Diceros bicornis minor: one gene and its partner. The protein of the gene in region 2 binds, or shares a complex with, the protein of the main gene of each other region. Links are inferred from orthologs where the notes say so. Each region holds a gene or a part of one and is shown on either strand. Other genes may lie near its edges.

Region 1 (11,335 bases), on a different chromosome or scaffold from region 2:
CTTCAGCACTGTGAGATGTGAGTCTCTCTGACCCTCGGTCTCCCCGTCTGGACCTCAGAGGTCCACGGTGAGGATTCAATGACTAAACACATGTAGAATGAGTCAGCAACCTTTTTCCGTAAGGGGTCGGACACCCCACATTTTCAGCTTTGAGGGCCAGGTGGTCCTGTTGTGACTACCTGGCTCGTCCTCTGTGTTTGTAACGCAGAAGCTGCTGCCAATAAGATTCCGCTGACAAAAACAGGTGGGGGCTGCATTTGGGATGGGGTTTCTTTTGCGGTGATAGAATGTTCTGGAATTAGTGGTGATGCCTGCACCACACACGAAACGCTTAATTGTGTACTTTAAGTGGGTGAGTTGTAAGGCGTGTGAATTTTATCTCAATAAAGCTGTTACAAAAGAGAGACAGCAGCCCGTCCTGAGACGCTCACGGGGTGGCATGAAGCCCGGGCTGCGCACACGGCAGCCACACGCTGACAGGACCGTCCCCGGGCCCCGCACTGGGCCCTGAGGGAGGGACAGGAGAAAAGATTACTTCCTGATTTGAACTCAGGCGCCCCCTGACCCAGATGGCTCCCACTCTTAACGGCGATGCTAGGTCAAATCACAGGGTACAGAGAGAGAAATTCTGAGATATTACTGAATTAAAGGACAGGCTGGGTTCTGAGAACAGCAGCCATCAGTTAAATGGGCAGCTCACTGAGGACAGCAGCCATCAATTTAAATAGGTGGCTCACTGAAGAGAACAGCCACCCCTTAAATGGAAGGCTCACTGAGGACAGCAGCCATCAGTTAAAAAGGTGACTCACTGAGGACAGCAGCCATCAGTTAAATGGGCAGCTAAGGACAGCAGCCATCAGTTAAAAACGTGACTCGCTGAGGACAGCAGCCATCAGTTAAATGGGCAGCTGAGAACAGCAGCTGTCAGTTAAAAAGGTGACTCCTCGAGGACAGCAGCCATCAGTTAAATGGGTGCCCACTGAAAACAAAGGTGCTAAGTGACAGCTTGATGGCAGGTATGAGCTGGGCCCAGGGCTCCCAAAGCCAGAGGATGCTGGTGGTGGGAGAGGAGCCAGGCTGGCAGGTGGACGGGCAGGGTAAACAACCTCGTCCGCCACACCTGCTCACTTGGGCCAGACACCCACCTTTTCCACATGCAGTGCCAGCTTCACACCGTTGTGCAGCCAGGACAGGGCCACAATGGGGTCCCCCTCCACCAGGCTGCCCACGTGGCTCTCCCAGCTGTTGGCGAGGTGGTCCGCCATGCTCCAGCACTTGATCTGCCCATCGGCATCAGCGGACAGGAGCCGGGAGCCTGTGGGGGCAAAGCTGAGTCACGAACCCCCAGCAGAGAAGCCAGCCTGGTGGACACAGAGCAGGGGAGTGGCACAAGGCATGTTCCGGAAATGATTCTGGACACGGGGAATGGGAGGAGCAGTGGCTTTGCCACAGGTCGAGGGTTCGAGTCCCAGCTCTGGGCACTGGGGACATGCCTGGGGAAAGACAGAGCATGCTGCTCCGGGAGCCGGGGTCGAGGGGCACACGGGCGTCTCCCCGGGCCGCGCAGACCCCAGGCCCACCCTCACCTGACTGGTCCCACTCGAGGCAGGTGATGGCCTCACTGTGCTCCGAGCTGACGGAGTGCACGTCCCAGGGGTGCTCCGTGTCCAGGATGTGGATCATGCGGGTCAGGTCTGTGGGGGAACAGGGCACCATCAGCACAGCAGCAACGACACAGCCCCCAAGCGCCCGACCACCAGGCGGCTCAAGGAGGAAGCCAGTGGACGGCCCACCCGCAAGGAAGTCACAGAGCCGCCGCCAACCATGCCAATGCCCCGGGGCAATGGAGGACCAGGCTCATGTCCCACCTGGAGACCGGAGCGGGCCTGTGACCATGCCACCAGTGCGGCTATGACCACGTTTTTAAGAGAGACACAGAAAAGAGAATTGCAAGAAAATGACCCCAAAATGTTAACAGTGAGCGTCTCTCCGTGGAAGGTAACGGCTGGTTGTTTCTCTTTATCCTGAATTTCTGTGCTTTTCTGGTTTTCTCTGACGACGGAGAGAAGACAGCAACTGCCATGCACGTTAGACGCTACATTAAAGACGAACGATGACATGTTTGGTCCAGAAGACTGGGGATCCCGCCCCTCACCCCACTCCATCCCGAAGGGTGATCCCAGCATCCCCGGGCACCGGGCGTGGGAGCGCACCACAGCTGCCCTGTGCACCCTGCGGGGCTGGGGCCGTCACATCCCCAGGAGCGGAGGGCCTGGACGGTGAGGGTGCTCCCTGGCAGGCCTGGGGACCCTGAGGACCCCACAGCAGCACTGTGGGGGCCAGGCTACGACACTGTGTCGGGGGGCCGGGGGCGTACCCTGGTCGTCATTCCGGAGATCCGTGGTGAAGGCGATGAGGTTTCGGCAGGACCAGGCACAGGCCAGGGGCACCGACGGGCAGTGGGTGCTCTTGGGCCATTTTTCCCACTCGCAGACGTAAGCCAGATCCATGGTGCCCGCCTGCCACGGCTCCCACGGCGAGAACAGTCACCAGCTCCTGGGGGAAGGAGGAGGGCTGGCTCGTCATCCACGTTCACGGAGAACCTGCAGGGCACCGAGTGTGGGACAGGACGCCAGGTGACCACAGGGAGTGTGTCTAGTGAGTGTCTGTGTGTGTGTATGTATGGGGGCCGTGACAGGGAGGCCTCACCAGGGAGAGTATACTGAGCGTGGGTATGAGGGAGCGAGGCAGGCAGATGTCTGAGGAAAGAGCATTCCAGGTGGTGGGAACAGCCAGTGCAAAGGCCCAGAGGCTGGATGGAGCCCTGTGTGTTCAGAGAGTGGCTGGCTGGCCGGAGTGGCTGGAGCAGAGTGAGTGAGGGGATGGGGCAGGCCGTGCAGTGCCCCGAGTGAGGTGGGAGCCTTGGGAAGGCCGTGACCCATCTATGTTGCAACAGACCCTTCTGGCTGTCTGGAGTGCGCAGCTAGGGGATGCAGTGGGGACTGCACTAGTCCAGGCGGGCAACGACGGGGCCAGTGGATACTGCAGGGAGAGGTGGGACCCCCCGTCTCTACCAGAAACATGCAAGAGCACGGTGGTGCTGTCTCTGGCTGAGATGGAGAGACAGGTGGGGAGTGGGCAGCTTACTGGGGGTGGCCGGGTGGCTCTCCACATGCCCAGCCCAATTATAGGTTGTTTCCTTTCACCACAACAGAAACCCAATGAGATGGAACAACCACCTACCCCATTTCTTTCAACCACCACCCCTAGGGCACCCTATTCTTCCAGCCTCGCCCCAGAACACCAATGTCCTGCCCACAAGCCCTCAATCCCCATCCCCTACATTCTTTGCTTTCCCAATTTGCCCCCCGGAGCCCCCAAGCCCGGCCTAAACTCTCGGGCTCCAACCCAGGGACCCCAAACAACCCCCAGGTCCCACCCCCAAGCCCTCCAGCCCCGCCCAACACTTTTTGCTTTCCAGACTGCCCCACCAAGTTCTCCAGGTCCTGACTCTACTTGCCCCCTGGAGACCTCAGATCCCACCCCAGGAACCCTACATGATCCCCAAGCCCCGCCCCCAAACGCCCATGCCCACCCCCAACGCGACCCAGGCACCGCCCCTCAGGAGATACACTCTCCAGGCCCCACTCCCAAGAGACACAATCTCTCGGGAGCTACAACCTCCAGGTTCTGCCCCCAGGAGTTACAACCTCTAGGCTCCGGCCCCAGGGAGCTACAACCTCCAGGCCCCGCCCCCCGGAGTTACAACCTATAGGCTCCGCCCTCGGGAGCTACAACCTCCAGGCCCCGCCCCTGGGGAGTTACAACCTATAGACTCCGCCCCTCAGGAGCTACAACCTCCAGGCCCCGCCCCCAGGAGTTATAACCTCTAGGCTCCGCCCCCAGGAGTTACAACCGCTAGGCCCCGCCCCCCGGGGGTTACACCCGCTAGGCCCCGCCCCCAAATAGCCCAGACCCCGCCCCCGGGAGTTAGAGCCTCTAGCTTCCGCCCCTCAGGAGCTACACCCTCTAGTCCCCGCCCCAAGTCGCCCAGGCCCCGCCCCCAGGAGTTACAACCGCTAGGCCCCGCCCCCAGGAGTTACAACTGCTAGGCCCCGCCCCCCGGAGTTACAACCTCTAGGCCCCGCCCCCAAATAGCCTAGGCCCCCCCTTCATAACCCCAGCTCCCCGAACTCACCGCGACCCCCACTTGGACTCATGCTTCCCCTCAAGTCTCGGCCACAACCCCCGAGCCCGCCCAGCGCGCGCCAGCCCGCGTACCCAGCACCCTTTGCTCTCCAGACCCGCCCTCTGACCCCACAGGCCCCGCCCCGGACCCGCGAAGCCCCGCCTTCTCCGGGCCGTGCTCTCCGGGGCCGCGGGCGCCGTCCGGAAGCCGTCTGACCCCCGGGCTCCGCAGCCCCGCGCTCACCGGGCCAGCCGAGCGCCCAGCCGAGCAGACGGCCCGCACTCGCCCTAACGCGCCGGCTCCGGCGCCGCCATCCTCCCCGCGACCAACAAGACGTCCGCGCAGCGCGGCCGCTTCCCGGAGGCTTCTGGGACGGCGGCGGCTCCTGCTCTGCCGGCTTCCGGGTTATTTGCATATGCTTATTAATAATTCCCAGCAGCCACCTGAATTGTATTTGGTAGAACAAAGAACACTTTCTCAACTCCGGTGCGTGACCCCATTTGGCTACGCTATGTGTTGCGCTGATACCTAAAAAATAAGTGAGTTACTGAACTTGCTCAATGAAATTCACCCTTAGTGTAAAGTTATTGATAGTTTGCACTATAAATATCTCTCTGGGTAAACTGAGGTTCGTGCTCGCTTCGGCAGCACATATACTAAAATTGGAACGATACAGAGAAGATTAGCATGGCCCCTGCGCAAGGATGACACGCAAATTCGTGAAGCGTTCCATATTTTGCGCCTTGTTTTTCTGGTATCCGCAGGTAGAGAAACTTTTTCTGATATCTACGGGTGGGGAAACTGAGGCTTGATAAGCCAAGTGACTTACCCAATCGAGGGCCCTTCTGGCTGCAAACCCCATCCCGGACTCCTCCAAAAGCTGGTCCCATTCGCATTTGCTTTACATTTCTTTTTTTTTTTTCCTTCTATTGAGGTCACATTGGTTTACAACATTGTATAAATTTCAGGTATACATCGTTATATTTCGATTTCTGTGTAGAAGACACAGTGTTCACCACCCAAAGACTAGTTATCATCCGTCACTGTGCACCTGTGCCCCTTTACCCGTGTTACCCTCCTCCCACACCCTGCCTCTCTGGTAACCACCAATCTCCTCCAAATTTATGTGTTTGTTTATCTTCCACATATGAGTGAAACCAGGCGGTGTTTGTCTTTCTCTGTCTGGCTTATTTCGCTTAACATAATACCCTCAAGGTCCATCCACGTTGTTGCAAATGGCATGACTTCATCTTTTTTATCACTGAGTGATATTCCATGGTGTGTATATACCACATCTTCTTTATCTATTCTTCCCTTGATGGGCACTTAGGTTGCTTCCAAGTCTTGTCTATTGTGAATAACGCTGTGATGAACATAGGGGTGCATGTATCTTTATGTATTTGTTTTTTCATGTTCTTTGGATAAATACCCAGCAGTGGAATAGCTGGATCGTATGGTATCTCTATTCTTAACTTTTTGAGGCATCTCCATACTGTTTTCCATAGTGGCTGCACCAGTTTGCACTCTCACCAGCAGTTCGTGAGGGTTCCCTTCTCTCCACATCCTCTCCAACACTTGTTGTTTCCTGTCTTGTTAATTATAGCCATTCTGACAGGCGTGAGGTGGTATCTCAGTGTAGTTTTTATTTGCATTTCCCTGATAGTTAATGATGTTGAACATCTTTTCATGTGTCTGTTAGTCATCTCTATGAAAAATGTCTGTTCATATCCTCTGCCCATTTTTAAATTGGGTTGTTTGTGTTTTTGTTGTTGAGTTGTGTGAGTTCTTTATATATTACAGAGATTAACCCCTTGTGGGATATATGGTTTGCAAATATCTTTTCCCAATTGTTAGATCATCTTTTCGTTTTGTTCATTGTTTCCTTTGCTTTGCAGGAGCTCTTTGGTCAGATGAAGTCCCATTTGTTTATTTTTTCTTTTGTTTCCCTTGCCTGAGGAGACATGGAATTCGAAATGATGCTGCTAAGACCAATGTCAGAGAGTGTACTGCCTATATTTTCTTCTAGGAGTTTTGTTTTCATGTCTTACATTCAACTCTTTAATCTATATTGAGTTAATTTGTGTATGGTGTAAGATGATGATCTATTTTCATTCTTTTGCATGTGGCTGTCCAGTTTTCCCAACACCATTTGTTGAAGAGACTTTCCTTTCTCCATCGTATGTTCTTGGCTCCTTTGTCAAAGATTAACATGTGCACATAAGTTCTTTTTTCTCAGGATTCCTTTGGCTCTTCGGGGTCTCTTGTCCCATGCTTTACATTTCTGTTTTTCATAGCTGGGGAAACTGAGGCTCTGATAAACATGGTGACTTGCCCAGTCGAGGGCCCTTCTGGATTCAAACCCCATCCCCAGTTCCTCCTCCAAAAGCTGCTTCTATTCCTGCCCGACTCTCCCCAATTGGAAGGTCTTCTCCAGGAAGCCCTCCTGGGATTGCAGGGAAGGGCACACTGGGCAGAAGGCACTGCCTGGGCAAAGGCCTGGTTCTTGGGAACGGAGCTGGGGAAAATGGGTGGAAGGAAGCCCACCGCCCCACAGTGGCAACCGCGAGACTGGAAGGGCAGCCAGTGGGCGCCCCCAGAGGCCCCGCATGCCCGCCCTGCGGCCCAGCCCTGTCCCCTGGGAACTGGGAATTCGTGCCCTTCACAGACGGGGCCTCCCAGCTGGTGACCCAGTATCTCCTTTTGTCCTCCTCCCAGCCATTTGGGTTTCCCTCCTCCAGCATCTATCTTTAAAACTTTGTAAATGTCCGTTCACACGGAAGACAGCGCCCCCAGCGCCCCACGCTGGCTTCGAATCCGGGCCCGGGTGGGAGGAGCCGCGCACCCTGAAGCCCAGAAAGTCAGGCCGGACTCACAAACTAAAAACCCCACCGGGATGGGGGCCTCCGAGAGACAAGGAGCTGCTGAAGGAGCTCTCGGCCGCCAAACCCGCAACAGTCTGAGCAACGAAATAAAGTGATGTTGGATTATAACCCAGACCAGAAAGTAAATACCCCCTCGAGCCTCGTCGTGTATGTGGTTGAATAAACACACGTGGAGAAGAGACAGTCCTCCCCTGTGGAATTCCCAGTAAATCAGGCAGAGGCTCTGCCCTCATGAAGACCGCTTCCCGAGGACAGTGTGGAGGGGCAGGGACCCCCCAGTGCAGGGCCCGAGTAGCGCCCCTCCACCAGGAGGTCAGGGTCCCCGTCAGCAGGGAGAAGCCGCGAGGACAGCAGGGACCCCGATGTGGCGCGATGACAGGGCACGTCCCTTTGTCCGATCATGAGAAAACCCAGGCTGGGGACGTCCTGCAGGACACCGGCCAGTCCCAGACACACGCAGGGAGAGTCCACGTGACGACGGAGGCAGAGATGGAGGGACGCGGCCACAAGCCCAGGACGCCTGAGCCTCAGAGGCTGGGAGAGGCGGGAGGGAGCCTCCGGAGGGAGCACGGCCCTGCGACACCGTGACCTCAGATGTCTGGGCTCCAGAACTGGAGACAGTGTATTCCTGTGGTTTTAAGCCTCAGTGTGGGGTACTCTGTCCCCAGGAAGCTCACACGAGTGACTTTTTGGAGGTCACACAGCCGGGAAGTGGCGGAGCTGGGTCTGAACCTGGGCTCCCGGGAGGGGGACGAGCCAGCGGGGCAGAGCGAGCCCCCGATGCTCCCGGCAGTCTCCCCGGACACCCGCCTCACCCCTGGGGCGTCACTCAGTGCCAAGCCCCATCCCCGAGCCTACAGCCTCAATGACCAGGACCCCAGCGATCCCGAGCCTCCTGCGCCCCCAGCCCCGCACCAAAGGGAACCCCACAGCTGAGACAAGAGCACCAGAAATTTATTGACTCTCCACTCTTCCCAAAGCACAGCTAGCCACACACCGGGGGCGGGGGGGGGGCAGCCCTGCTCTCGGGGGCCGGGCCAGGCCAGGTGGCCCGCCGGAGGACACCCCAAAGCAACAGGCTGGGGAACATGGAAAGGGAACCGGGTAGTCCAAGGGCGGAGGCTTCTGGCTGGAAGTCCCGGACTCCCAGTAGGAAAAGACGGGAGAAAAATGGGGAAGGGCAGGGTATACAGCAGACAGGGCCCCAAGAGCCACCAAAAGACACCAGCGGGGGACAACACACATTCCAAAAAGAGAGTAAAACCAGCCTTTAAAACGCAGCTTCCGTCCTGGGTCGTGGGGCACGCGCACGCACACACAAGACGTAACACTCCCAGGGCGGGGGACGAGGCCCCAGAGACCCCCCCCATCCAAGCCAAAAACTGGGAGGGGGGTGTCAAGCAGGGACTGGAACAAAGCCCCCCGATTTATCAGTTGGGGCGAGTTTGGTTTTTCTTCCCAAAAGGGAAATTTAAAAATCTACAACAAATCACACCAAATTCATTAAAAGTGATAAAAAGCCAGCCTCTCCCTCCTCGCTTAAGCCTCAGACTGGACGGAGAAAGCTGAACGAAGAAGGAACATGGAAGTGACCAGGCCCGGTCTCCCCGCCCAAATACAAGTCCCAGAGCGAGGAGCTATGGGGCCTGGAAAGGCCAGAGCAGCCCCAGCCACCAGAATTTATCTGGAAGGGCTGGGCAGGGAGGGGGCTGGGGTGAGAGAGAGCCACCCCAAGGGGAAGATGACGTTTCCAAAGACGAATTCTAAAAATAATGAAGATATTCTGGCGGGTGGCACGGAAGGTCCGGTGCCGGGGAGGCGGTGGGCGGGGCCCGGCGGGCCGCCATCAGCTGCGCTGCTCCAGGTAGGCGGAGAGGAGCAGCCCGGGCGGCAGGAAGTCCAGGTGCCGATTGCTGACCTTCATCTGCCGCCTGCCCTCCAGGTCAGCACCTGCGCGAGGCGCCAGCGGGGCGAGTGAGTCCCCACCTTTGCAGAGAAGCACCCCCGGCCCGGCCCCTCCGCCCGAGTCTGTGGGAACAAAGGCGGGCGTGGGGGCCGCAGGAGGCATCCAGAGGTTGCCATGGAAACCGTCTCCTTAGCAACTCCGGGCAGGAGGCGGAGAGACAGGCGTGGGGAGCGAGGACCCGATGGGGCGCCCAGGGCCAGCAGGGGCCTGCGAGGACCCTCCCTGGGGGGCTGTAAAAGCGGGGACACAGGCCCCGGCAGGGGGCACTTGGTGGAAGTCACACGTGTGGCACAGTGGAGGAGACAACGGCTAAATGAGAACGCTGCAGACACTGGGGTCCCCTCATCTCATCTCAGGGTCCCTGGGGGCCCAGCCTCATCCCCCAGGCCCCTCTCTGCTCTCGGCCCTGAAGAGGCGGACTGAGGGGTGTCTGTGGCCACAGCGTCACCCAGCGTGGGGCCAGGCGCACAGGGAGCTTCTGGTGAATTAACGCAGAGCCACTGCCAACCCTCTGCTCCCGTGGAGGAACCAGACCCCGTGTAACCCCGGCCTCGGTGTCCCCGGGCTCAATCGGCCAGCTGGGGTCTGGGGGCCGCCAGGCACTTACTGGCCGAGATGAGGTCCATGTACTGGCAGACGGCGTGAAGCAGGAGCCTCTCGAAGCTGTGGAGGAAGGGGCGGTGAGGGGCCGAGGGCCAGAGCCGGACACCCGGGGATCCCGCTGTGCCCGCCCCAACCCGGTCACCTGTTGTCCAGCATGGCCGTGTACACGGCCTGGGGGGACACGGAGAAGAACCTGAGCAGCCGCTCCTCCCAGGTCTCCAGCGTTTCCTGCAGGAGAGACGGGCCCCGGGGTCAGGCTGACTGTGGGACCCTGGGCAGGCTGTCCAGGACCCCCAGGCCCAGGGCAGAGTCCAGAGTTCAAAGCCCTGGGTTCAAATGTGGCCTCTGACCTGCTACATGAGGCTACCTGTTTCCGAGGATACTAGGTACTTAGACATCTCCATATCTTTGAACGCCTGCACCTTCTGCCTGGTGAACTTCTACACATCCTACAGTGCCCACCTTCCTTGCCCCTGCCACTCCCATCCTCAAGGAGAGCCCTTGCCTGGCCCTGGGTCCTACACTCTGATCACACTGGTCTGTATCTCGCCCTGTCTCCATGACACCATGGCACACCGGGTAACCAGTCTCCCCTCGCCCCACCCTCAGTTGAGAAGTTGGGGTAAAAAGGCCATCAAAAAAGACCAGGCGGGTGGGGACAGAGGAGGCCCAGCCTGGTACTCACCATGGGGATGCGGCTGCGCTTGAGGATGGCTCGCAGACGCCGGCTGATGCGCTGGAAGCACTCGCGGGGCGTGTAGGCCGGGTCCTCTGCAAGAGTCCAAAGTGTGGGGCAGCCGGTGAGGCCGGCCCCCGGCCCCAACACACCAGGCCCCTCCCCTGTGTCTCCACCCCACCCACACCAGGCTCCTCCCCACCCGCCCCTGGGCCCCGCCCACACACCAGGCTCCTCCCCCAGCCCCCAGCCCCGCCCACAATGCTCGGCCAGGCCCCATCCGCCCCTCCGGTCTCCCAGCCCCTTCCAGGCCCGCACCTCTCCGCCGGTCCTCCCCCCGGCCGGGCCCCCTCCTCCGCGTCTTGCTCCTGCCCTCATCCTCCAGGTAGCGGAGCACCCGCTCCTGCTCCTCCCCGGAGCGGTTCATGAAGTCGTTCCAGACCTGCAAGAGAGGCGGGCAGGTCCAGGGCTAACGACTGCGCGGCTCTGGCCTCAGGTTCCGCATTCGGCCAGTGCACACGGAGGGCCCCACGTGCATGGAAATACTCCTTGTGGACACGCTGGCCCACTGGGCCCGCCAGTTCATGGGGCACCTGTGGACCCACCTGTCTGGGGCGGGGCATCCATATGGACCAAATGCACCCCTGACCGAGTAAGTAATTCCAAGTGATGAGCAGATGAATCACGGGCACTGGAAGGTTCTGGGGTGGGATGTGGACCCCAAGGGAGACGGAGGGGGCATTCATCAGGGGACCAGGGGGGATGCGTGCTCCGGTGGAGGGACCAGCATGGGCAATGCCCAGGGGCAGGAGCGAGAAGCAAGAAGAGGCCAGTGCGGCCCGAGCAGAGGCAGCAGCGAGGAGGGTGCGGGGCCCACCTCGACGTAGGTCTCATTGCTGCAGGCCTCCGCGAAGATGCCGGGTGCCGCTGGGGGTGCCAGGTCCCCATCCTCCAGACCAGGTGTGCCCCCATCTGTCTCCAGCAGGGTCAGCAGGTACTGGGCTAGTGGAAACAGACGG
Region 2 (11,937 bases):
CTTCTCCAGCCGTGCTGAGGCCGCGTCCCACATACAGCAACTAGAAGGATGTGCAACTATGACATACAACTATCTACTGGGGCTTTGGGGGAAAAAAAGGAGGAGGATTGGCAATAGATGTTAGCTCAGAGCCGGTCTTCCTCAGCAAAAAGAAGAGGATTAACATGGATGTTAGCTCAGGGCTGATCTTCCTCACAAAAAAAAAAAAAAAAGAAAACAAAGGGAAGACTTGCCTAACCAGATATCAAACATGCTCTACAGGTATAGTAGTTAAAACAGTAAAGTATTGGTGTGAGAAAAGACAAAACTATCAATCAAACATACTAGAATGTCAAGAAACAATTTAGGATACAACAAAGAATGGCCTATTCAATAAAGGCAGTTGAGCCAACTGTCCATCTATTTGGAAAAATAAATAAATAAATATGGATCTCTTCTTCACACCTCAATAAAGTCTAAATGGATTAAACAAAATAAATATAAAAAAGAAAAGTAAAATGTTGGCAGAAATCAGAGAAGAATATATCTTGATCCTCAGAGCAGGGAGGCCCTCAAGCAAGACAAAGCCATATAATGGAAAAAAATGGTTAAATCTGACAACAAAAACATTAAAAATTTCTGCATGCTAAGAAAATAAAACCAACAAGTCAAAAAAAGTGATAGAAAATTTAAAACATATATAAAAGATAATGATTACAAGATAGATTATATTAATAGACACTTAAAAATCAGTAAGAATTCTTCTTGGGATGATGAAAATGTTCTAAATTGATTGTGGTGATGGTTGCACAAGTCTGAATACACTAAAAACCAGTGAATTGTATACTTTATATGCGTAAATGGTATAGTTTGTGATTTATATCTCAATAAAGCTGTTACCAAAATAAAGAAAACAAACAAATGACAGAAAAATGGGCAAATGATATACATAAGTAATTGACAGAAGATATACAGAGAGCCGATAAACATACGAAAAAATACGCTCAACATCGCAATCATGGAAATATGTATTATAATGTGATGTAATTTTTTGCCTCTCTGCAAAAGAGTTTTAAGAGATTCTATCCAGCACTGGAAAGGTGTGGGGAAATACTATCAAACACTATGGAGAGGGTATAAACTGATACAATCCTTTTTGGAGCACAATTTGTAGGACCTACTACAATTTAATGTGTGGGTACTCTTCAAATCAGCAATTCCATTTCTAGGTAGTTCCCTATCCTAGGGAAATATTCTCAGATATGCAGAAGGGTGAGGATAAGGTGAGTATAAGGATGTTCAGTGAAACATTGATTATAACAGTAAAAAATTAAAAAACAACCTAAATTACAGTACATATGGAACACTATGCAGCAGTTAAAAAGAATAAAGGACGTGAATATGTACTAACATGGAAAGCAGACATAACGCCAAGAGGAAAAAGGAAGTACGAGAACTACGTGCCAGCTGAAGAATACTACTCAGCAATTAAAAAAAAGGAAGTTCTGACATACACAACAACATAGATAAATCTCAAAAACATTTATGTTAAACAAAAGAAAACAGTATACAGAACATATATGATTCCATTTCTATGAAATCCAAATATTAGTCTATGGTGATAGAAAACACTTAGTGGTTATAAGAGGATGGACTAGAAAGGAGCACAAGAGAACTTTCTGGGAGAATGAAAATGTTCTGTATCTTATTTTGGATATCAGTGACATGGTATATACAATTGCTAAAACTCACTGAATTAATCTTAAGATCTGTGCATTTTATTGCATGTTAAATATATATATATCTCCTATCATACTATTCTTCCACTTAAAATCCTTTAAATGATTACTTGTCACCCTAGGATAAAGTCCAAACTCCTTAGCATCACTCACGGGTCCTTTATGACCTAATCTCTATCTCACTCTAAACCAGTGTCCTCCTTGAAGTGCTAGCCCAGCAGTTCTCAAAATATGGTCCAGGAACCCCTGGGGTCTGTGAGGTCAAAAAATAAATACGACTAAGATGTTATTTGCCTTTTTCACTCTCATTCTCTCACAACTGTACAAGGAGTGTCCCAGAGGCTCTATGATATGTGATGATATCATATAATTAAACGTGTCAACTGGAATATCTGTGTAACTCAGTAACGGATATTTTCCAAATGACCAATTCATGATATGATAAAATCATGCATGGGTAAAAGATATATTCAAAGTGCAAGAGAGAGACTAATGGATTTTAATGTAATGGAGTATAAAAAGTTGATTCATGTGGTTTCACATCACCTGTTGAATTTTAGTGTATCAAAGAAGAATATGCAATTATCTGAAAAGTTTATTAAAGTACTGCTCCCTTTCCAAACTAAATATTTGATGTGTGAGGGCAGATTTTCTTCATACACTTCAACCAAAATAGCCTATTGCAACAATTGAATGCACAAGATTTGAGAATTCAGGGGCCAGCCCCACGGAGTAGTGGTTAAGTGCGCACGCTCCACTGCTGGCGGCCCGGGGGGTTCGCAGGTTCGGATCCCGGGCAGGCACTGATGCACCACTTGTCAGGCCATGCTGTGGCGGCATCCCGTATAAAGTGGAGGAAGATGGGCACGGATGTTAGCCCAGGGCCAATCTTCCTCAGCAAAAAAAAAAAGAGGAGGACTGGCATGGATGTTAGCTCAGGGCTGATCTTCCTCACACACACAAAAAAAAAAGATTTGAGAATTCAGCTGTCTTTTATTAAACCAGACATTAAAGAGATTTGTAAAAACATAAAACAATGCCACTTTCCTCACTAATTTTTTTGTTTTGGAAAATACAGTTTTCATTAAAATGTTATTTATATTAACACGTAATGGCTTTATTTTTTGTTACTTTTAAATAAATTCATAAATATTTTTAAATTTCTGTTTTCATTCCTACACTGGTAAATATGGATAGATGAAAAACATATAAACAAAGCAGTCTCAATAATTTTTTTCTTGGAGTCTTTTCTTTGTTTCTTTGTTGGATTGTCACCGGGGACCTTTTCAGTTTTGCCCAGTGGATCAACAATTTTTAAGAGTATAAAAGGGTCCTCAGACCAAAACTGCTGCTCCAGCCATACTCAATTATTTTCATCATCATGCAACTTTTGCCTCCCAGCCTCTTCACATGCTCTCCTCCCTGCTTTGTACAGCCTCATCAACGCGCCTAGCTAACTCCTACTTACCATTCAGGTCTTGGTTTAAACATCATTTCCTCTAGAAAGCCTTCCCTGATTCCTCAGACTGGATCACGTACCCCTCCCATATACTCCCATACTACTGCCCTAACCTAGATCATAAACCCATCCTGCGACCGACTGCTTATTTATATATCTGTATCACCCACCAAATTCCTTCTGCGCTGGGATCAGGTCTTGTTCACAGCTATATCCCCGGAGTCTGCGGCACTGTCTAGCACATACAAGAATTCAGGAATACTTCTTGAGAGAATAAGTTAATGTAATATTCATCATAACCAACGAAGCGTTATCTTTTATTTTGTGTGTGTGTGAGGAAGATTAGCCCTGAGCTAACATCCGTTGCCTATCTTCCTCTTTTTGCTGAGGGAGATTGGCCCTCAGCTAACATGTGTGTCCATCTTCCTGTATTTTATATGTGGGACACCTGCCACAGTATGGCTTGATAAGTGGTGTGAAGGTGCACGCCCAGGATCCGAACCTGAGAACCCTGGGCCACAAAAGCAGAGCCAGGAACTTAACCACTACGCCACTGGGCCAGCCCCCAATGAAGCATTATTATTTTTACGAGAAAACTAGGGCTCAGAGAAGTGATGTATTCAAACAAATTCACCTAAAAAGTATGAGCTGACAATTGTACTCCGAGTCTTTTACCTTCAAACCCTCACTCTCTGGAATAGGTGGGGCAGTTTACCTGGGAACTAATGGCATACTTCAGGTAGGACAGGATGAGAGGATTGGGGGAAGGTCCAATCATAGCCTGCTCCAGTAGTGCTTCTGCAAGCGGAATAACAAAGCAAGACTGAGTGGTTACAACTTTTCTGAGTTTAGCCCTCCCATCCTTCCTTCCTATTTCACTTGAGAACCTGCTAAGTTGAGAATGTCCCAGGTGGCTCCCTTGGGAAAGAATTTCTTCATGTTGATTGCCCACTGGTAGTCACTCCATCGCTCCTTCCAGGCTTGCAAAATGGCTTGCTTCAGGTTCACCACCTTCATGATTTCACTCTGAGGAGGCGGGGCCGGTGGCGGTCACCTTTGAGGTGGGAGAAATCCAGCTGGAGAAGAGAAGAGGAGATTCTGAGGAAAAGAACAGGGGAGGGCAGAGTTAAATGCAACGGAGAAGATACAAGAAGATTTAAGGGAGGCAGAGGAACTAGAAAGGAAAAAAGGGGAAGGGGGCAAGGTAGGGATCCTGTCAAGTTCTTCCCTCCTGAACCATCCTTCCTTAAACTGAAGCACTAAGAAGAGGGTGTCAAACGGGCTTAATACAAAGAGTAAATAGGGCAACAAGGGGTTAAGCCAAATCCAGTTTCCTAATTACGCCCTTAGCTCCGGCTGCGTCCCTCAGCCAGCACCACCTCGAACGCACATTCCCTCCCCCCACCCCCATTTCCTCCACCTTCCCTAACCCTAAAACTACAACTCCATATTTCTTTTTCATCCACCACTTGCCCAAATGTAAGCCTACCGGACAATCAAGCCCTAGATCCTAGGTATCGCCATTTTGGCACTTATCAAAGGGCTAATTTTCTATTGGCTGGGAATAATAAACATGAACCAATAGGAATGTAGCAAGAGACCGGTCACGCCACGATGCCTTCTGGGAATTGTAGTTTCCTGGACTGGGCTAGCCAGGAAGCTAAGGGACTAAGCTAGTAACCGCGCATTGTTTCTCTCCTTTAGGGAAGGACAGGGAGAGGCTGAAGCATCACGGAGACTCAGACCGCTGAGCGGGGAGGGCTCTCGAAAAGCGGTTCGCGATCAGACGTGGCCCAATGACGTCACTGTCGACCCGGCCTTTAAATTATATTCCGACACCCTTTCGTTACCCGCTACTTAGTAGGCACAGCTAGTGTGTGGCGTTGATTCAGCAATACGTTTTCTTTTTCCTGGCCTTTTCTTGCTCTCCTAAACCCCTGCGCCTATCAGAGTTGTTCTCATTGCCACACCTGTATTCCAGAAGCGACACTGAGGCTTGGTCAGTTGCACACACATAACTACTTCACCCCCAAATTTGGCAGTCCTCCCAGAATCTCCTGGCCCTGCAACTGCTTGAATACAGGGAGAAGCAAGGAGGAAAGTAAGGAGGAAACTGAGGTTAAGGTTATCAAAAATAAGGAAAGTCTGAAAAACCGTCATAGCCAAGAGGGCCTAAGGAGACATGATGACTAAATGTAACTCGGTTCACTGGATGGGATCCTGGAACAGAAAAAGAACATTAGGTGAAAACTAAGAAATATAAATAAAGCATGGACATTAGTTAATAATAATGTATCAATATTGTTTCATTAATTGTAACAAATGTATCGTACTAATGTAAGATGTTTAAAAAAGGGGAAATTAGGTGTGGGGTATGTAGGGATCCTCTACTATCTTCAAATTTTTTCCTGTAAATCAAAAACTATTCCTAAAAATAATGTTTCTTAAAAACAATGTGATGTCTTGGGCTGGCCCCGTGGCTTAGCAGTTAAGTGTGCGCGCTCCGCTGCTGGCGGCCCGGGTTCGGATCCGGGCGCGCACCGACGCACAGCTTCTCCGGCAGTGCTGAGGCCGTGTCCCACATACTGCAACTAGAAAGATGTGCAGCTATGACATACAACTGTCTACTGGGGCTTTGAGGGAATAAATAAATAAATAAAATTAAAAAAAAAAAACAATGTGATGTCTCACTTATCCTTTGGAACCATATTGTAGATAATTATGTCCAGGGTTTAAGGCATTAGCTCTTGTTCCCCCACTTCCCACCCCACAGTGGGAAGCCCAAAAGCAAATGCTACCCACATCTGGCGCCAACATCTTTTTTTTTTTTTTAACTTTATTTATTTATTTTTCCCCCCAAAGCCCCAGTAGATAGCTGTATGTCATAGTTTCACATCCTTCTAGTTGCTGTACATGGGACTCGGCCTCAGCATGGCCAGAGAAGTGGCGCATCGGTGTGCGCCCGGGATCCAGGCCCGGGCCGCCAGCAGCGGAGCATGCGAACTTAACCGCTAAGGGACAGGGCCGGCCCTGGCTCCAACATCTGAGCCTCCCTATACACAGCCTTCATCCCTGCCCTGTCCTGTGGACAAGTCGTCCCTAACATTTACAACTACGGACAAGAATAATCATGGAGTCATCCGCCCAATGTCCTGCCACCCCTATTTTGAGCCTTCCCATCCCATACCCCCATGAGTCCAAGATCCATCCATATTCCCCAACGACCATTCTTTGGCCACCCTTTCAGTGGTAAAATCAGTCCTCAGAAGGATGAATCCGGGAGAGCAGCCTACTCAGGCTCTAGAAACAAACTTGTGGCCCTTAGGGCAGAGAATAACAGGATCCTGAGTATCTGGAGCATAGCCTAAACAGGGAGAAAAGGACTCCTGTTCTGAAGGGGAGACTGCAGCTGGAGGAGGGCCAAGTCACATCCCTCTAAGGTCATTACTGCCTATGGCCTTTTTCCCTCCCCATACACCCACCCATACCCCCCTCCATTCTGCTCCCTTTTGTGCCTGCCCAAGTGACACCAGTGGTGAATAGTGTTTATATAAAACAGCTGCCAAATATGTGTAGCCAAAGCTTCCAAAGCAGGAAGGAGGGAGAACCCATACTCCTCATATTTAACCTCCAAACTCCCCCAGCCACACAGACACACTTGAGACGCCACCAACCCTGTTTCTCTGCAGTCTCTCACAAATCTGGGCTCCCTTCTTCTCCCAGGCCCCTCACTCTACCTTGCCGGCTCTCTTCCTCTCATTCTTTTCCTGCTCCTGAAGCCAAGGGTCCCCTACCTTGAGTCATTCCTGGATCCTACAGCTCCTTTCCCATCCCTCATAGCCCAGACTGCCCCTCTTGGAGAGAGGCTGTCAACTTTGTGACTGTTCCTAACCGAGTTAGTAGGTGTTGGGTCCAGTCCACATGAGAGTGGGGAATACTTGGGCCCTGAGGATAGTGATATTCTGAGCTCAAACCATCCCCCTCTGACAGGAAGGGTGGTAGATCTCTGGGGGGGAGGATGCCTCTTCCCCACTTTACAGTGACAGGGAAGTGGCTTTTGTAGTCAGGCCATCTGCCTTCCCTGTCCCCCCACCTCTCACCAGTAGTCCTTTCTCTAGGCTTGGCAGGGTTTCCCCAAGGACTGGACTCCTAAGGGAGTACAAGGACTCTCTTAGTTCTGGGCAAGGGCCATTTTCAATTTCTCTACTTTGTCCTGACTATCTAGTCTGCAAATATCAGAGACAGCCTTTCCCGTACACCACCTCTTCCCTGCACAACACAATAGCTTCCTAGGACCCGCAAGCTCTCTGGCTTGCTGACCACAAAGACGGGACTCTATGATGATCCTCCACTGTGTGAGTGAAGAGATGCTGACATCCCTTTTGGCTATACAAGGAACTCTCCGCCCATACAGCCCCTCTCAAAAACCCCTCTTACTTACTCCACTTTCTTTTGCTGTCCATTTCTTCTCCCTCAGCACTGATAGCGGCTGAGCTCCCACCTCTGCTCTCTTAACCCTGAGCCCTACCCTCTTCATCTTGTTGGCTGATCTGGCTGGGGAAGGGGTCTGGCTAGAGAAGAAGCACAGGTGGAAACCAGCCAGCCAGAGTGACATGGCAACACTGGAGCAGTAGCAGCAGAGGAGCTAGGCCAGAGTGGGGACTTGGGTTGGGGTAAGAGGCTGGGAGGAACAGGGTTTTTTGTACTCAAGGGGACAGGGACATTCATTATCTAGGCTAGAAAGAAGTATCCATGGCAGATTGGTTCCAGGAACTCTCGCATATACCAAAATCCATGGATACTACACTTACACTATAAAATGGTGTAGTACATTGGGCTGGCCTGGTGGCGTAGTGGTTAAGTTCACGTGCTCCATTTCAGCGGCCCGGGGTTCGCAGGCCCAGATCCTGGGTGCAGACCTATGCACCACTCGTCAAGCCATGCTGTGGCAGGTGTCCCACATAAAATAAAGGAAGATGGGCACTGATGTTAGCTCAGGGCTAATCTTCCTCACCAAAAAAAAAAAAAGGTGTAGTACAATGAATACAGTCAGCGCTCTCTATCCTCGGGTTTCCCATCCTTGGATTCAACCAACCGCGGGTACTAAACCTGCGGACAACAAGGGTCAACTGTATAAGGAAAAGTGGCAAGAGTCTATACCCAGAAACACTGAAATACTTGGTAAGCATACAAGGCACAGAAGGTTTCAGCTTCCCTTCTCTCCACAGGGAAACTGAGTCATTCCCCTCCCCTAACTGGAACATTTTCCTTTGGAAGCTTGCCTGGGTCTCCCCACTATGGGATGGGGAGTTAATTGGCAGCAGGTGGATGGGGAAAGAAAGAGTCGTTCCCACACACTCATACACAGCTGGTTCCAAATCAGCTCCCTTCTCCCATCGGTCCCCACATCAATCCCTGCTTTCTCTCTATCTGGGGGAGAGGAGAATGGGGGAGAGACCTACATGGTGGCCCCACCTCAGGGACAGCTCCTGGACCCCCCAAGTTCCCTGTCTCTATCTTCCCACTGCCCCCACAGAAGAGCTCCAGAAAGAGACCAGCCAGGATGGTGAAAAAAAGAATTTGAACCAGTCCTTGGAGTATTTCTTCTCTAACACCCTGAAGGATGCCTTCCCTCTCCACATTCCCAGCGCAAAGAAGAAGTGAGGGGGCTGGCCCCGTGGCTTAGCGGTTAAGTGCGCGCGTTCCGCTGCTGGCAGCCTGGGTTCGGATCCCAGGCGCGCACTGACGCACCGCTTCTCCGGCCATGCTGAGGCCACGTCCCACATACAGCAACTAGAAGGATGTGCAGCTATGACACACAACTATCTACTGGGGCTTTGGGGGGGAAAATAAATAAATAAAATCTTTAAAAAAGAAGAAAAGAGGGGCTGCGATCCTGAGGACTGGACAGTGGCAGGGAAGGGAGGCCAGTCTGCCATTTCTTTTTTTTTTTTTTCTGAGGAAGATTAGCTCTGAGCTAACATCTGCCAATCCTCCTCTTTTTCCTGAGGAAGACTGGCCCTGGGCTAACATCCATGCCCATCTTCCTCTACTTTATATGGGACGCTGCTACGGCATGGCTTGACAAGCGGTGCGTTGGTGCGCACCAGGGATCCGAACCAGCGAACCCCAGGCCGCCGCAGCGGACCACGCGCACTTAACCGCTTGTGCCACAGGCCTGCCCAGGCTGCCATTTCTTTTGCACCACCTCTCCCTCCAGGCACTGAGAGCTACTCTATCCTCTTGGCCTCCACACCAGCCTGTCCCATCATCCCCTTTAACTGGACCGAGAGGGCTGCAGTGTGGTAAGGCCCAAACTCTATGGTAAAGGAGACTGCCCCCCGTCTCTCCTTTCATCTCTCCTCCTGGCAAAGGCAAAGTGAAACCAGAACCTGGCACATAATAAATGCTCAAAAAAATGAATGAATAAAAGTAGGAGAAACCCTGAAAGACAACCTGGAGAAGGTGTCGGCTTCTTTTTCCACTTCTTGCCTCAGCTATCAAAAACAAGGCTCAGCCAGGCCTGAGTCCCTTCCCTGGCTACCTCATTTGTGATTCATAACCAGGGCACCTGATGGGACAAAAGTGATTGACAGGGGGGCATTAAGTGGCCACTTTACTCTTAGCAGGGCAATTGTTGGCTAACTTCCCAGTCTTTCATCTTTGCTAGCCACTTGATCCCCAATTCCCATAAAATGGCCCCCCTTTCCTCCATTTCCACCATTTTTTCTTGATTGAAAGATCACTAAAGGGTGAAACACCTGGGTTTGAGGTTCTCTTAGCTGGTGGTTCCTCAGTTTCCTCTGTTGTCTTTTTTTTCCCCCCCAAAGCCCCAGTAGATAGTTGTATGTCATAGTTGCACATCTTTCTAGTTGCTGTATGTGGGACACAGCCTCAGCATGGCCGGAGAAGCAGTGCGTCGGTGTGCGCCCAGGATCCGAACCCGGGCTGCCAGCAGCAGAGCGTGTGCACTTAACCGCTAAGCCACGGGGCTGGCCCTCCTCTGCTGTCTTTCCAGAACTCCCCAATAAGGGGGGCTGTGTCTGCAGAGTCAAGGGGTGTCTGCTGGACACCTTATCACTTGCTGACATCACCCAGAGCCCAGGTGGTCAAGAGGAGATGGGGGAGGGGAATTATTGAGGCCCAGGCCACAGAGCTAGTTCCAGGGCAGGCTGGTAGAGGGACTGTCCCCTGTTCCCCCAAACTGCTTGGGGCTTATTGGCAGGGGTAGAGGATGCTGTGTGGGGTCTTGGCTTCCAGGCTTATAGGGGAAGCTTTTCAGGAAGATATCTGGATCCCCTGGTTTCTAGGGGTGGGAACATTGAGAAATCTTGGGGTGCTTCCTAGCAACAATCTGGGAGGGAGGGAAGGAAGAAGAAAGAGAAGGAGGGGCTTGGGCATAGCTGCTCCTATGGGAGCCCAGAGAACAGGCTGTTCCTGCTGCCTCCTTGGCAACCAAAATCTAAGAGGGAGAGGGCCAACAGGCATATCCCCTTGGAGGGTCTCTATCCATCCTCACTTGTGCCCCACCCTCCTGCTCTCCTGATGGACTCAGCCCTGAAGCAGAGGTTGGTGGGGGAGGGGGTGGAGAATGGGAGGAGACAGCTCTGGTGGGGTTTCACAGCAAGGAGAAAACACGAGCTGAGAATGAAATGGCTCTGAGAAGAGCTAGAAGCTTCAAGAAATGGGGGTAGGCAGGGCGAGTGGGGTGGAAATAGGGATGATGCAACACTGGCAGGGGCTATAAGCCCAGACCTGGGCTGGATCCTGGCATCTGGCCAGATGCCTGTTTTGGAGGCAGTGTGCCCTTCACTTTGCCCTTGCCCAGGTCTGTTAGCAGCCCATACTGGGAGCCAAGGAAAGGGAGAGAGATAAGGAAAAGATGGGAATGGTAAACTCTCGTCTTTGAGTTCAAGGCGCCCTATTCTGCCCCTGGGGTAAAAAAAGGTGGATCAGGAGGCACTTCATTTTCTATGGCTCTGGGTCTAGGATTTCAAAAAGTCTCCCTTACCCAATATCATTAGGGCCTTTTGTCAAAGAGAGATGTGGTGAGGGAAGCCAGAATGGAGAGGAGACAAACCATTACACTTTCATCTGCACCCTCTGGACTCTGTCACCCTGCCCTAATCCTCTGCTAGACCTCTCCATTGCCCCCTGGTTCTGCCTGATTGATGCAGAGCATAAATGTAGCTCATCTCATAAATGTATCCTACGCACTGGGATTCTGTCCCAACTACTTGGGCAGCCCAATCTCAAGAGACTATTTCCACACAGGGTAGAGCACGCACCCTGAGCATTGCACACGGCAGCCTTGCTCCCCAGGGTTTCAGCCAAACCTGGTCACCGAGGAGGTGGCATCGACTGGCAGACAGCCACCCTCAGTGCACCTCACAGTGCACACTGCCCTGACTCTACACGATGCAGCCTCCTGCCCCACACTGCAGCTGTTGCATGTCCACTGCAAGCCCAGGCTGAACCCACAGGTTCACTTACTACATGCTGACTCTGCACACTGCAGCCTCAATTCCCCGCTACGGCTGCCACTGCACAATGTAGGCTCCCTTCACCCACTGCATACCTCTTATCACCACCACTCTACTCTGCATCCCGTGGTTTTCATCCCAGCTGCCTTTCTCATCCCCATGATTCTGGGGATCCCAAGAGAAGCACTCCCTTCTCCCCCACGCATTGCAAACCCCAGTACCCCCTGTAAGAGAAGTGGCTCCAACAGAGCTGAGGATGCAGGTGGCTGAGACTAAG

What was found.
Region 1: the proteins of MED24 (region 2) and MED16 are in contact, whole or in part, in a cryo-EM structure (PDB 7EMF), measured with the Homo sapiens proteins. The link is inferred for Diceros bicornis minor from reciprocal best matches to the Homo sapiens genes MED24 and MED16. Residues at the interface, in NP_055630.2 of Homo sapiens: Ile539, Leu540, Asn541, His544, Pro545, Glu593, Arg629, Met630, Leu631, Gly632, Leu633, Asp634, Glu635, Asp676, Gln679, Gln680, Thr681, Ala682, Pro702, Pro703, Lys704, Arg705, Pro706, Ile707, Lys708, Glu709, His737, Met738, Gly739, Gly740; in NP_005472.2 of Homo sapiens: His29, Cys30, Pro31, Ser32, Arg52, Asp54, Asp55, Gln56, Glu82, Asp102, Val126, Glu127, Gly128, Asp129, Pro130, Val184, Ser185, Leu187, Thr203, Glu204, Ser205, Cys207, Arg208, Leu209, Arg210, Gly211, Arg212, Asp232, Gly233, Ser234.

What each region holds. Positions count from the first base shown.
Region 1 is NW_026691553.1:468,426-479,760, forward strand, and holds the start of MED16 (mediator of RNA polymerase II transcription subunit 16), read right to left. Parts: upstream 4,531-11,335; 5' UTR 4,433-4,530; intron 4,218-4,432; exon of another isoform or gene 4,199-4,217; intron 2,604-4,198; exon of another isoform or gene 2,557-2,603; 5' UTR 2,511-2,556; coding exon 2,378-2,510; intron 1,695-2,377; coding exon 1,587-1,694; intron 1,316-1,586; coding exon 1,146-1,315; intron 1-1,145. Other genes in the region: R3HDM4 (R3H domain-containing protein 4), read right to left, coding at 8,918-9,021, 9,645-9,700, 9,783-9,868, 10,326-10,411, 10,635-10,758, 11,194-11,318. UniProt on the Homo sapiens protein: Component of the Mediator complex, a coactivator involved in the regulated transcription of nearly all RNA polymerase II-dependent genes.
Region 2 is NC_080757.1:39,630,286-39,642,222, forward strand, and holds the start of MED24 (mediator of RNA polymerase II transcription subunit 24), read right to left. Parts: upstream 4,708-11,937; 5' UTR 4,667-4,707; intron 4,463-4,666; exon of another isoform or gene 4,276-4,462; 5' UTR 4,195-4,275; coding exon 4,065-4,194; intron 3,976-4,064; coding exon 3,893-3,975; intron 1-3,892. UniProt on the Homo sapiens protein: Component of the Mediator complex, a coactivator involved in the regulated transcription of nearly all RNA polymerase II-dependent genes.